2 linked regions of the Danio rerio genome follow. The protein of the gene in region 2 purifies or fractionates together with the protein of the main gene of each other region. This does not show direct contact. Links are inferred from orthologs where the notes say so. Each region holds a gene or a part of one and is shown on either strand. Other genes may lie near its edges.

Evidence for each region.
Region 1: the proteins of strap (region 2) and szrd1 purify together in Homo sapiens (co-immunoprecipitation; 3 studies listed by BioGRID and IntAct, counting the BioPlex papers as one, with this or other methods). This does not show direct contact. The link is inferred for Danio rerio from reciprocal best matches to the Homo sapiens genes STRAP and SZRD1.

Annotation. Positions count from the first base shown.
Region 1 is NC_133198.1:27,445,951-27,450,519, reverse strand, and holds the end of szrd1 (SUZ RNA-binding domain-containing), read right to left. Parts: intron 4,514-4,569; coding exon 4,244-4,513; intron 1,721-4,243; coding exon 1,606-1,720; 3' UTR 706-1,605; downstream 1-705.
Region 2 is NC_133179.1:17,468,295-17,473,119, forward strand, and holds the start of strap (serine-threonine kinase receptor-associated protein), read right to left. Parts: upstream 3,090-4,825; 5' UTR 2,900-3,089; intron 2,746-2,899; 5' UTR 2,733-2,745; coding exon 2,621-2,732; intron 2,189-2,620; coding exon 2,053-2,188; intron 1,973-2,052; coding exon 1,891-1,972; intron 520-1,890; coding exon 447-519; intron 351-446; coding exon 251-350; intron 174-250; coding exon 36-173; intron 1-35. UniProt on the Homo sapiens protein: The SMN complex catalyzes the assembly of small nuclear ribonucleoproteins (snRNPs), the building blocks of the spliceosome, and thereby plays an important role in the splicing of cellular pre-mRNAs.

The DNA of each region.
Region 1 (4,569 bases), on a different chromosome or scaffold from region 2:
TAAGATTAAACATTTAACAAACAGTATCCAGAGGCATTATTTAAAAAGTCTTTATTAAATGGGCATTTTGAAAAGTATTTACAGGCAGATTTCTGTGTTTTCAGGCAGGGCATGACAAACCCGTCTGGTCTGATTTTTTTACAGCACAATGGGTGAACGATGACACGTCAGATTAAAGGGTATTTTCATAAACTGCAGGAGTTATGAGATTTCATTCGTGGACAGCACAGAAAAGTAAATTAGAAAAAGAAATAAACAGGGAGTTACAGTCAAGAAAAGTAGTAGTATGGCTCCTCATATATAGACACTGTATTGCAAGAGCCAAAGCAACTAGATCAACTGACTTAACACTTTCAATAACAAGTTGCTTAGTTAAGCCACTGGTGCGGCGCACACACACACACACATTTCTCTTAGGTTTCAATAAACATTAAATAAACTCTTATAGGATATTCTGTAGTCATAGATGAGTTTTCAAATGATCTTGAAGCCATACTTCATCATGTACGCTTAACATTGCACCATCATTCAGTTAAAAAAAACAACAAAAAAAAACCTATCCAGCAATACACAACTTCATTCATTCGCTCATAATTCCTCACAACAACCTGAGTTCCTACATAAGTAAATAAATCAAAAAGAGAGAGAAGAAAATGGCCAACAGCAGATTTAAGAAAGTGAGACGAGGGAAGCCAGCAAAACCTGTTTTTTTTTTTTATCTCTCCTCGTTTCACCCTCTCTTCAGTTCTTCCCAGCACGACAAATATTTACACAACTCATCTTTTCCGTTAAAATGCACAGGTCTAAAAACGACTACCTTTAAATCATATTATAAAAGGCATAGAAACGGCTTAAAAATGTGATTGTTGCACTCGTTTAACTCTCTACTTATGTTTTTGTTTTTATTCGTTTTACTTTATGTAGAAATCAGGACAGTCAGAGGAAGACCCATGAATAAAACATAAGAAAAACAACAACAGATAACCGTAAACAATAAAGAAAGTCAGCTCGAGTTTCCACAACATACCTTCCTTACCCATTTAAAAACATATGGCAATTAGCAGACCGGTAATAACCAAAATAATTAAAACAAAAGACAAACACAAGCAATACAAAAAGCTGGAGAGAACAGTGTGGAAGGGAGGTTTGAGTAATTGGTGAGATTTCTAGAATTATTGCTGAAGGAAGCTGGTGCCTTTCTTCTGTTGCTTCTAGCACGCTTGTTTCTTCCATCCCAAATGTCTTTTCAGAGGATTTTGCTTACATGAGGTGAGGAAGGGACGATAGTTCTGTTTCATTTCTCTCCATTTTCATTTAATTTTTAAGGGATTTCGTTGGGGCTGGACATCACAGTGAGCAGTGTCCGGAGGCGAGGTCCTCATCACAGTGTAAAAAGCAGGGAAAGTTTCCCACATCTGCTTCGCTAGATCGTGTTTCTTTCCCCCGGTACATTCCACACAGGCCGTGCTGGATTCGAGAGGGTTTTTTATATTTCTTTGAAGAACATCCCACATCCTAAATATTGATAAAAATGATTTGAATTTAAACCCTAATCTGGGAGACCCTCGCTCGCCTCTTCTGGTCTCCCAGGAAAGGCTGTTATTCCTATCTGCGCTGGTGGTGAAAGCCTTGTGTACCGTCTGGACCTGCTGGCTGTCGAACCACATGGTTTCCTGGTCTGTTTTCCTCTGAAAGTGTATGGCTGCTTCCCCGTGGAGATCTGGTTGAAGATAGACAATGTGTAAAATGTACAAATTAAAGCACTTTGTTTTTTTGTTTGTAGCAGTTATGGCTGAAGCCTTAGATCTAAAATAGAGCTGTGGTGGAAAATTGTTCCAGAAATCAATTTTTAGTTTTTTTAAAATGCACCGCTGTTCTGTTTTGAATTGATCCTGAGCTTGATTTTTAAATCTAATATCAATATACTTCTAGATTCCCATGGTTGCACATTTCTGCTGTGTGATTGGCCCTTAGATCAATAAGATAAAAAAAAAGTAAAAAAAAGTCCAGAGCTTATCATTGTTGGCATCATTGGCAATCTGATATAATATAATTTATCCCTAGTATATAGAGATAAAAGCCAAGTATATGCATGTCCCTATCACAGAGAAGTGCAATAAATTAAGTTAATTTTATGTGCAGCATGCACAGGTTATCCAAATCTGACCAATCAGATGGGGCCTTTACTTTACCTCTGACAACAGCCAAAAAGAATCAGACTTTCAGTCATTCATGGTGTTTTAAAGTCGAAATGTTTGTACATTAATATAGTTTTTAATTTTTACATTAAATTATTTCAGAAAAATATCTATTACCTGTTGATTTTAGTATGAACATTACATAAATGATGTTTATAAATTGCTGATAAAATAGCGTTTTGCATGTTAGTTATATCATATTAAATATGGAGATTAGCAATCATCACATATTTTCCCGGTATCGTGCAACCCTATTTTAATGTCTATCTTTTTAAAATCCATTTAATGACAACTTTTAGTAGTAGTAAATTACAGTTTTCACAAAATTACTTAACAAAAAAAAACTGATCAAAAGAAATCTGTCGAGCAGAAAAATTAGCACATCAAAAGGATTTCTAATGGATCATGTGACACTGAAAACTGAAGCTTAAAGAGTGCAACAGACCGGTTCTAGATATAAAAACTCTTATTATTCTTTTACATTAACTAATATAAACCTTTAAACACAGATACATTGTGAGCTATAAGTTTTTTAATTGTTTGTATATATATTTGTACAGTTACAGTAGTTATTCATTCAATTCTTATAGTTAAATCGGTGGGCGTTGAATTTGAGCAGAGAAACTAGTTAACCCAAGATTAGGCCCACACGAAATCCGCAGATTTTTAGCCCATGATTGAGTCTATGTATTTACTTGTGTAAATTTTTCTCATTTACAGAATTTTTTTTTTTTTTTTTACAAAATTCTCCATAGAAATAGCAAAAAATGTCTAAAAATGTCCCTACCCATGAAGATATAAAAAAAAATCCATTAATCAGAGTAACAGCTTGCAAAACACTTTAGACCCACTTCCATAAAGCATTGCAAATGACTCAAAGATACAGCTTTATAATTCTTGTATATATGTACTGTATATATACACTTGCATATTTTTAATATGTATTTTTAAATTTCTCATTGGACTGTCACTCACTATACAACAGGAATTGTAGTTATTTCCCTCATTAGCTGTCAAGTACACTTTTTGTCAGATTTTCATATAATTATTTGCATCGCATCAAAGTTTGCTATGCAATTATTATTTATCATTGTGTTGTGATTCAACTTGTAACTTCAAGTTTACGAGTTGTTTCTAGTTCAAATATTTAAAAATTCTTAAAACAGGGAGCATTTTCTAGACAAGCAAAATATCGTCTTTTTCAGAAATAATAAGTCAAATTGAGAAAATGTCTACCAGGGTGAGAAAAAATATTTGAGAAATAAAATTATTAAGCTTACCCCATTGACAGATTATTAAGCTTGTTTTTGCTTGTCTAAATGCTTCTTGATTTACTAATTTTTAGACATTTGGACTAGAAACGAGACTCAATCTCTAAAGTAAAAAAGCAGTTTTTGCAGTGTAAAATACTCATGGGAAAAATACCTCCAAAACCTGCACGGCTGAAAAAGTGAGTGGACACTAATGCACTGCGTATAATCGCATACAGTGCTCAGCATATACAAGAACACCCTCATAAACCTCTCTTTTAAATTCATATTTTTAACAGGAAGCTATACAATATTATGTGTGCATATACATTAGATTAGTCAGTACTGAAGCCAAATCAGGAGCTTATCTAACAAAAGTACTTGCGTTAACAGTCAAAAAAAAAACTAGTACATCCACATTTATATGTTATAGAAAAACAAAATACAAATTTTAAAAAAGAGGAAAAATCAACAGAAGCCATTTTTTGCAATATTTTGCTTGAATTGAATTGTATTATCTTTTACTTTCTAAATATGTTTGGTGACTAAAATATTATTTTAATAAATATATCTGTTTAATAAATCTGTTTTGTTTAAATACACTAAAATACATTGCATATATTCACTGGTAAATGGAGAAAAATATTAATTTTCAAAATGGGGTGTCCTCAATTACGCTGAGTACTTTACATATATAGATGTCATGGAGGGAATCCATGGAAAAGTTTATAGAAGATCACTCAAAATCAGTGTTCGCTGTCAGAGCCTCTATATATGGCGGGTCAGTATTTTTACCGGTCTGAATTGGGTCTCTCCTGTGGCGTGTCATCAGGAGTTGCACTGCCGAGGATTCTCTTCCTGGCCTCTGCGTATTCTGCCTCTCGCTGAGCTAAGGATTTCACTTGCGGGGAGGGTCGAGTCTGCAGCGCAGATGATCCTAAAGATCCATTACTGGAGGGTCGCTTCAAAATACGGATCTGAGGTGGGGGTGCGGCGGGGAGGGAATCGTCCTGAATTACGATTGCTGTTCTCATTGGAGAGCGACTCGAACTGCCACTTGAAAGTCTGATAGATCATCAAAAAAATGATTAGAGTACAAAAGGAGCACACTGAGAAAAACA
Region 2 (4,825 bases):
CAAGGTAATATTTGCACGATATGAAAGATAGAAACCTGTGGGCATTATAGAAAGCGATGGTTCTCCCGTATGTGATGACGAGAGTCTCCCCATCAGGAATGTACTCCATGCTGCTGACAGATGCATCGAATGATAAAGTCTTCACCGCCTCGTTTGTGTTCTTGTCCCAAAGTCTATACATAGAAGATGACACTAAATCAATCTATCTGCATATGTAAAGTCAAAAGATGTTACCATTCGGGATACTCACCTGATGGTTTTGTCGTCGGCAGCTGAAAGAATCTGCTGGTCATTGTTACACCACAGTGCTTTCTTTATGGCAGAAGTGTGGCCTGCAATCTCCTGGGGTTCTGCATTACAAAAGTTACTTTTTAAAACCAGGTTTGCATTTATGAAAGGAAGCGGCTATCATCAAAGCAAATAAACTATTATTTAACTTTCAATACCTGCTTCAGGTTTGCTGAGGTCATAGATGCGCAGTACTTTATCATTTCCTCCAGTCAGGAGATAGTTACTGTCCTGTTGGTTCAACACATGCTGGTAAAAACTCCTAAATGAAATTACTCTGGCAAGTTTACAGAAAGTGACTTCATTTACATGTAGTAATCGGTGATCAAATGATTTGCCTTGATCTGAATAAGACAATAAAATGTTTAAGGTGTTTACATGAGTTACTTTTTGAATATTGCTTTCATGATCCCTTTTTACATGCTATAGCACATAGTTTGATTAACGTTGTTGCGTCATCGTGCTATCCACATTTGCTCTGGAGTTTCATGTAATTTCGGGAGTTTTATTTTTATTTTGTTGACTTTAACTGCAGTTTGGCACTTTCATTCAGGAATAATTCATGCATGCCCCCATGACAAACGAGATTTTGGATTTTGGATATTGGTTTTTTAAAAAAAAAACTCAGCATTTCGCAATGTACACTGTAGATGTCTGTGGTCCTACTGACTTGATAGTGCAGAGAATAGTGTCAAACAGCCGTGTGTATATAGACTGTCCCATTGCAAAATGTGGCAAAAACCCTACACAACGGTAATAGTTTGATTGCGTTTACATGTCTTTACAGTGTCAATGATGTGACTAAAACCGGCATATGCCACGTCTTAATTACATTTCTGTAGAGTTTGATTATGACCTTAATCTGATTAAATTAATGAAAAATTTCTGTTTATATGGTAGAGTCTTAATCAGAGTATTGTCTTAATCGTATTAAAATTGCATTGGTATCCTTGTAAATGTACTGAGTGATTGAACACATGGGTTACTATTGTTCCAAACTTTATTTCATTTTATTTATTACTTTATCTATTGTGGTTTAAATTTAATAAGGAAAGTCCCAGTGACATGCTGTTTCTCCTGTCAGGGTTCACATTTGAAAATGAAGCTAACTGAAACATTTAGTTATGAAACTTTACTGATTGCCGAAGTAAATTATGAGAATCATGAAGCAAATTGAGCCAGCATTCTGTTAACCCGTGGTTTTGAATGACCACAGGTTAACTATTTTAAGTAAGATCATTTCATAAACCAAGTGTTGCATAAATAGTCTGAATATCTCAATATAGATCAGTATTATATCTTACTAAAATTGTTGCAAAATGTTTTAATTAGATACTAGAATAAATTAATGACTTATTCATTTGTTCATACAAGTAGTTTAAAATAAATACATTTAGCCTGTTATGCCAAAGTTGCATTTACTTATTCAAAAATACAGTAAAACTAATATAAAATTATAATAATTTAAAAAACCCACGTTGTGCATAAATATAATTTGAAATGTATATCATATTCCAAGATTACAAAGTCAAGATTTCATCTGCCATAACTCTTGGCTTACACAATTTTGCAGAACTCGTTCTATACATCAGCATGGAATACCTGTGTAAAGTTTACAGACTTCACAATGTGCTTGTGCGCCAGGGTGAGGACCTCGTCTCCAGTGACAGCATCCCATACCTTCCTGTCAGATTCATAAGAAATATAGAAAGTAAACTCATGTTTCAACAATAACAGTTCATCTTTTATTCCTTTAACACTTACGCTGTAAAATCTGCTGCGGCCGTTGCTGCTTTTGTAGCTTCTGTATTCAAGGTGGCACCCCAGACAGCACCCTTGTGACCCAAGAACGTCCCAATCCAGTCCCCTGTGTCACCCTGGCGCAACATAGGTTTGCCATCTGCAAAATTTGAACACAAAAACAAACTTATTTGACAGATACATGACATATGCACACACTTATTTTAAGAAATGCTTACTTTTTAAGCACACTGCCCTGCAAATGTAGGTAAAAATGGTTTTATATTTAAACTTTCTCCTTAATTTTATTTCAGAAAAACATTATTAGCAAGTTATAAATAGCAAAATCATATTGTCAGCCAATGACTATCAAAGCACAACATTGTTCACAATCAAGTAACGTGATAATGTTGTTTTGAAGTCATAATTAAATGTGATTTCAAGCCGAATATTCAAAGTACCATGGTGAACAATATAGGGAGCATGTCACAAGTGGTCACTGCATGAATGTGCAACTATAAAACCAACAATGCCCTGCAATGAGGTTGTGTTTACTGTGAAGAGTTGGTTTTAAGTCCAAGTACATACAAACCTTTACAAGCACTAATGAGGAAATATCCATAAGGAGTTATTCCACTGAACGCCAGATCCACAACAGGTCTGGTGTGACCAGAGCAGGTGAGAGGGGTCTGTCTCATGGCCATACTTACTGAGGACCTAAAAAGATGACAGGACACATAAGCAATTGTACTGAAACATAGCTACGTATTTCTTAAAATTCAAGTATCAAATAAGAGATGTACATATGAAAAATCAGAACAGGTGTGCTGGCTAACACAAGCTTGGCTAGTCAAAGAAAAACAATCATTACCTTGCAAAGCTAGCAAATCAACGTCACACACTAGTACTTTGCGGCCAGATTGCGTATCGGGGATGATTGCGGAGCTGCACTCCCAGCTACAGTGCTGTGCCACCAGCTACACGAGGTGTGTGTGTGTGAGTGTGTGTGTGTGTAAGCTAAACTCGAGCCCTCGCTAACGCTACAGGAACATAATGGAAGCACTAGTGTGAAAGCCCGGCCATCATTTCCGGCCCGCGACGCCACGGGGATTGGACAGAACTGGATCACGTGACCTGTCGTAGCGTCGGTTGAGAAAGCGTACATCCCGTTTTTCTACCAATGGACGTGTATGTACAAATAAAGTGCTAACATGTGCTGTATTATGTTTAAATTCCATTATCTAATATGTAATATCTGGGATAGGAAAGATTCTAGCGTTAATATGAAGACGCTTTCTCAGTACGAACTACAAACGAGGAAAGTTACTACTTTGACACACTTCGTTTATCAGTGTTGTTAACGGATGGTTATATAACTAACGTTATGGCAAATGTGAGGAAATAACATGTTAATAATAATAATAATACTAATAATAATAACAATAATAATAATAATCAGTGCCATAAATCAATAAGCTTTACGCTATTTAAAATATATATAAGGTAAACTTTCTGAGCCACGAAGCGCCCCCTGTAGGTAAGTAACATCTGCACAGGATATAATTACTATTTGAATAGAGCGGTCAGGATAAATATTACACATGGGCTGGTTGCGGTAAAAATGCTTTACATTCAGACATCTCAATGATAATTTTGCGTGCAAGCCTCACTGGTATGTCTACGTGTGCTCTGATGTCATGATAACCTCACTGTCATGGGACACACCTGTTTTAAATGACTTAGAGCAATTTCTGGAAAAACTCACGGAGTTCTTTGAATATTCTGAAGGGATGTGCAGGCAGGCAGGCACGTAGATAGATAGATAGATAGATAGATAGATAGATAGATAGATAGATAGATAGACAGACAGACAGACAGACAGACAGACAGACAGACAGACAGACAGACAGATATAGATAGATAGATAGATAGATAGATAGATAGATAGATAGATAGATAGATAGATAGATAGATAGATAGATAGATAGATAGACAGACAGACAGACAGATATAGATAGATAGATAGATAGATAGATAGATAGATAGATAGATAGATAGACAGAGAGACAGACAGACAGACAGACAGACAGACAGATAGATAGATAGATAGATAGATAGATAGATAGATAGATAGATAGATAGATAGATAGACAGACAGATAGATGATAGATGGATGGATGGATGGACGGACGGACGGACGGACAGACAGACAGACAGATAGATAGATAGATAGATAGACAGACAGATAGATAGATGTTTTATGTTCTCATTGCAATGTCTATTTAAACGTCATCCAAATTAAAGGCAGTGCTTATGACTCATTAATCACAGCTTTTTGCAAATCTTACATAATTGCATCTCTGAAAATCTTGCTAAAGGCCATTAGAGATGAAGATCTACTGTAAGCACACATTTTCATGAGGGGAAAACAGAAATGCAAACACAGGACGCCTCTCTCATTTGAGCATTATCTTAGTAACACAGTAACGCTGAAAGCTTCAGATGCAAATCAGCGTGTGAGTCATGTTGTACCAGCATGCACCGCGACTGTTTCCTAGCACACGGGGGTGTGAGAGGTCCCGATCATTCTAGCGAATCGGTTCGTTCATATGATTCACTATTATGAACCGGTTCAAACGCCATCGCTGAAGTTACCTAATAAAATACTTATGTTTATATTTTATATTTACACAGCTGTGGGTCGGTTATGATCGTCTGCCTAATGGGTGATTAGAAGGGTTAGTTCACTTAGAAATGAAAATGTTTGGCGTAATGACATTTTTGTAATAACATATTA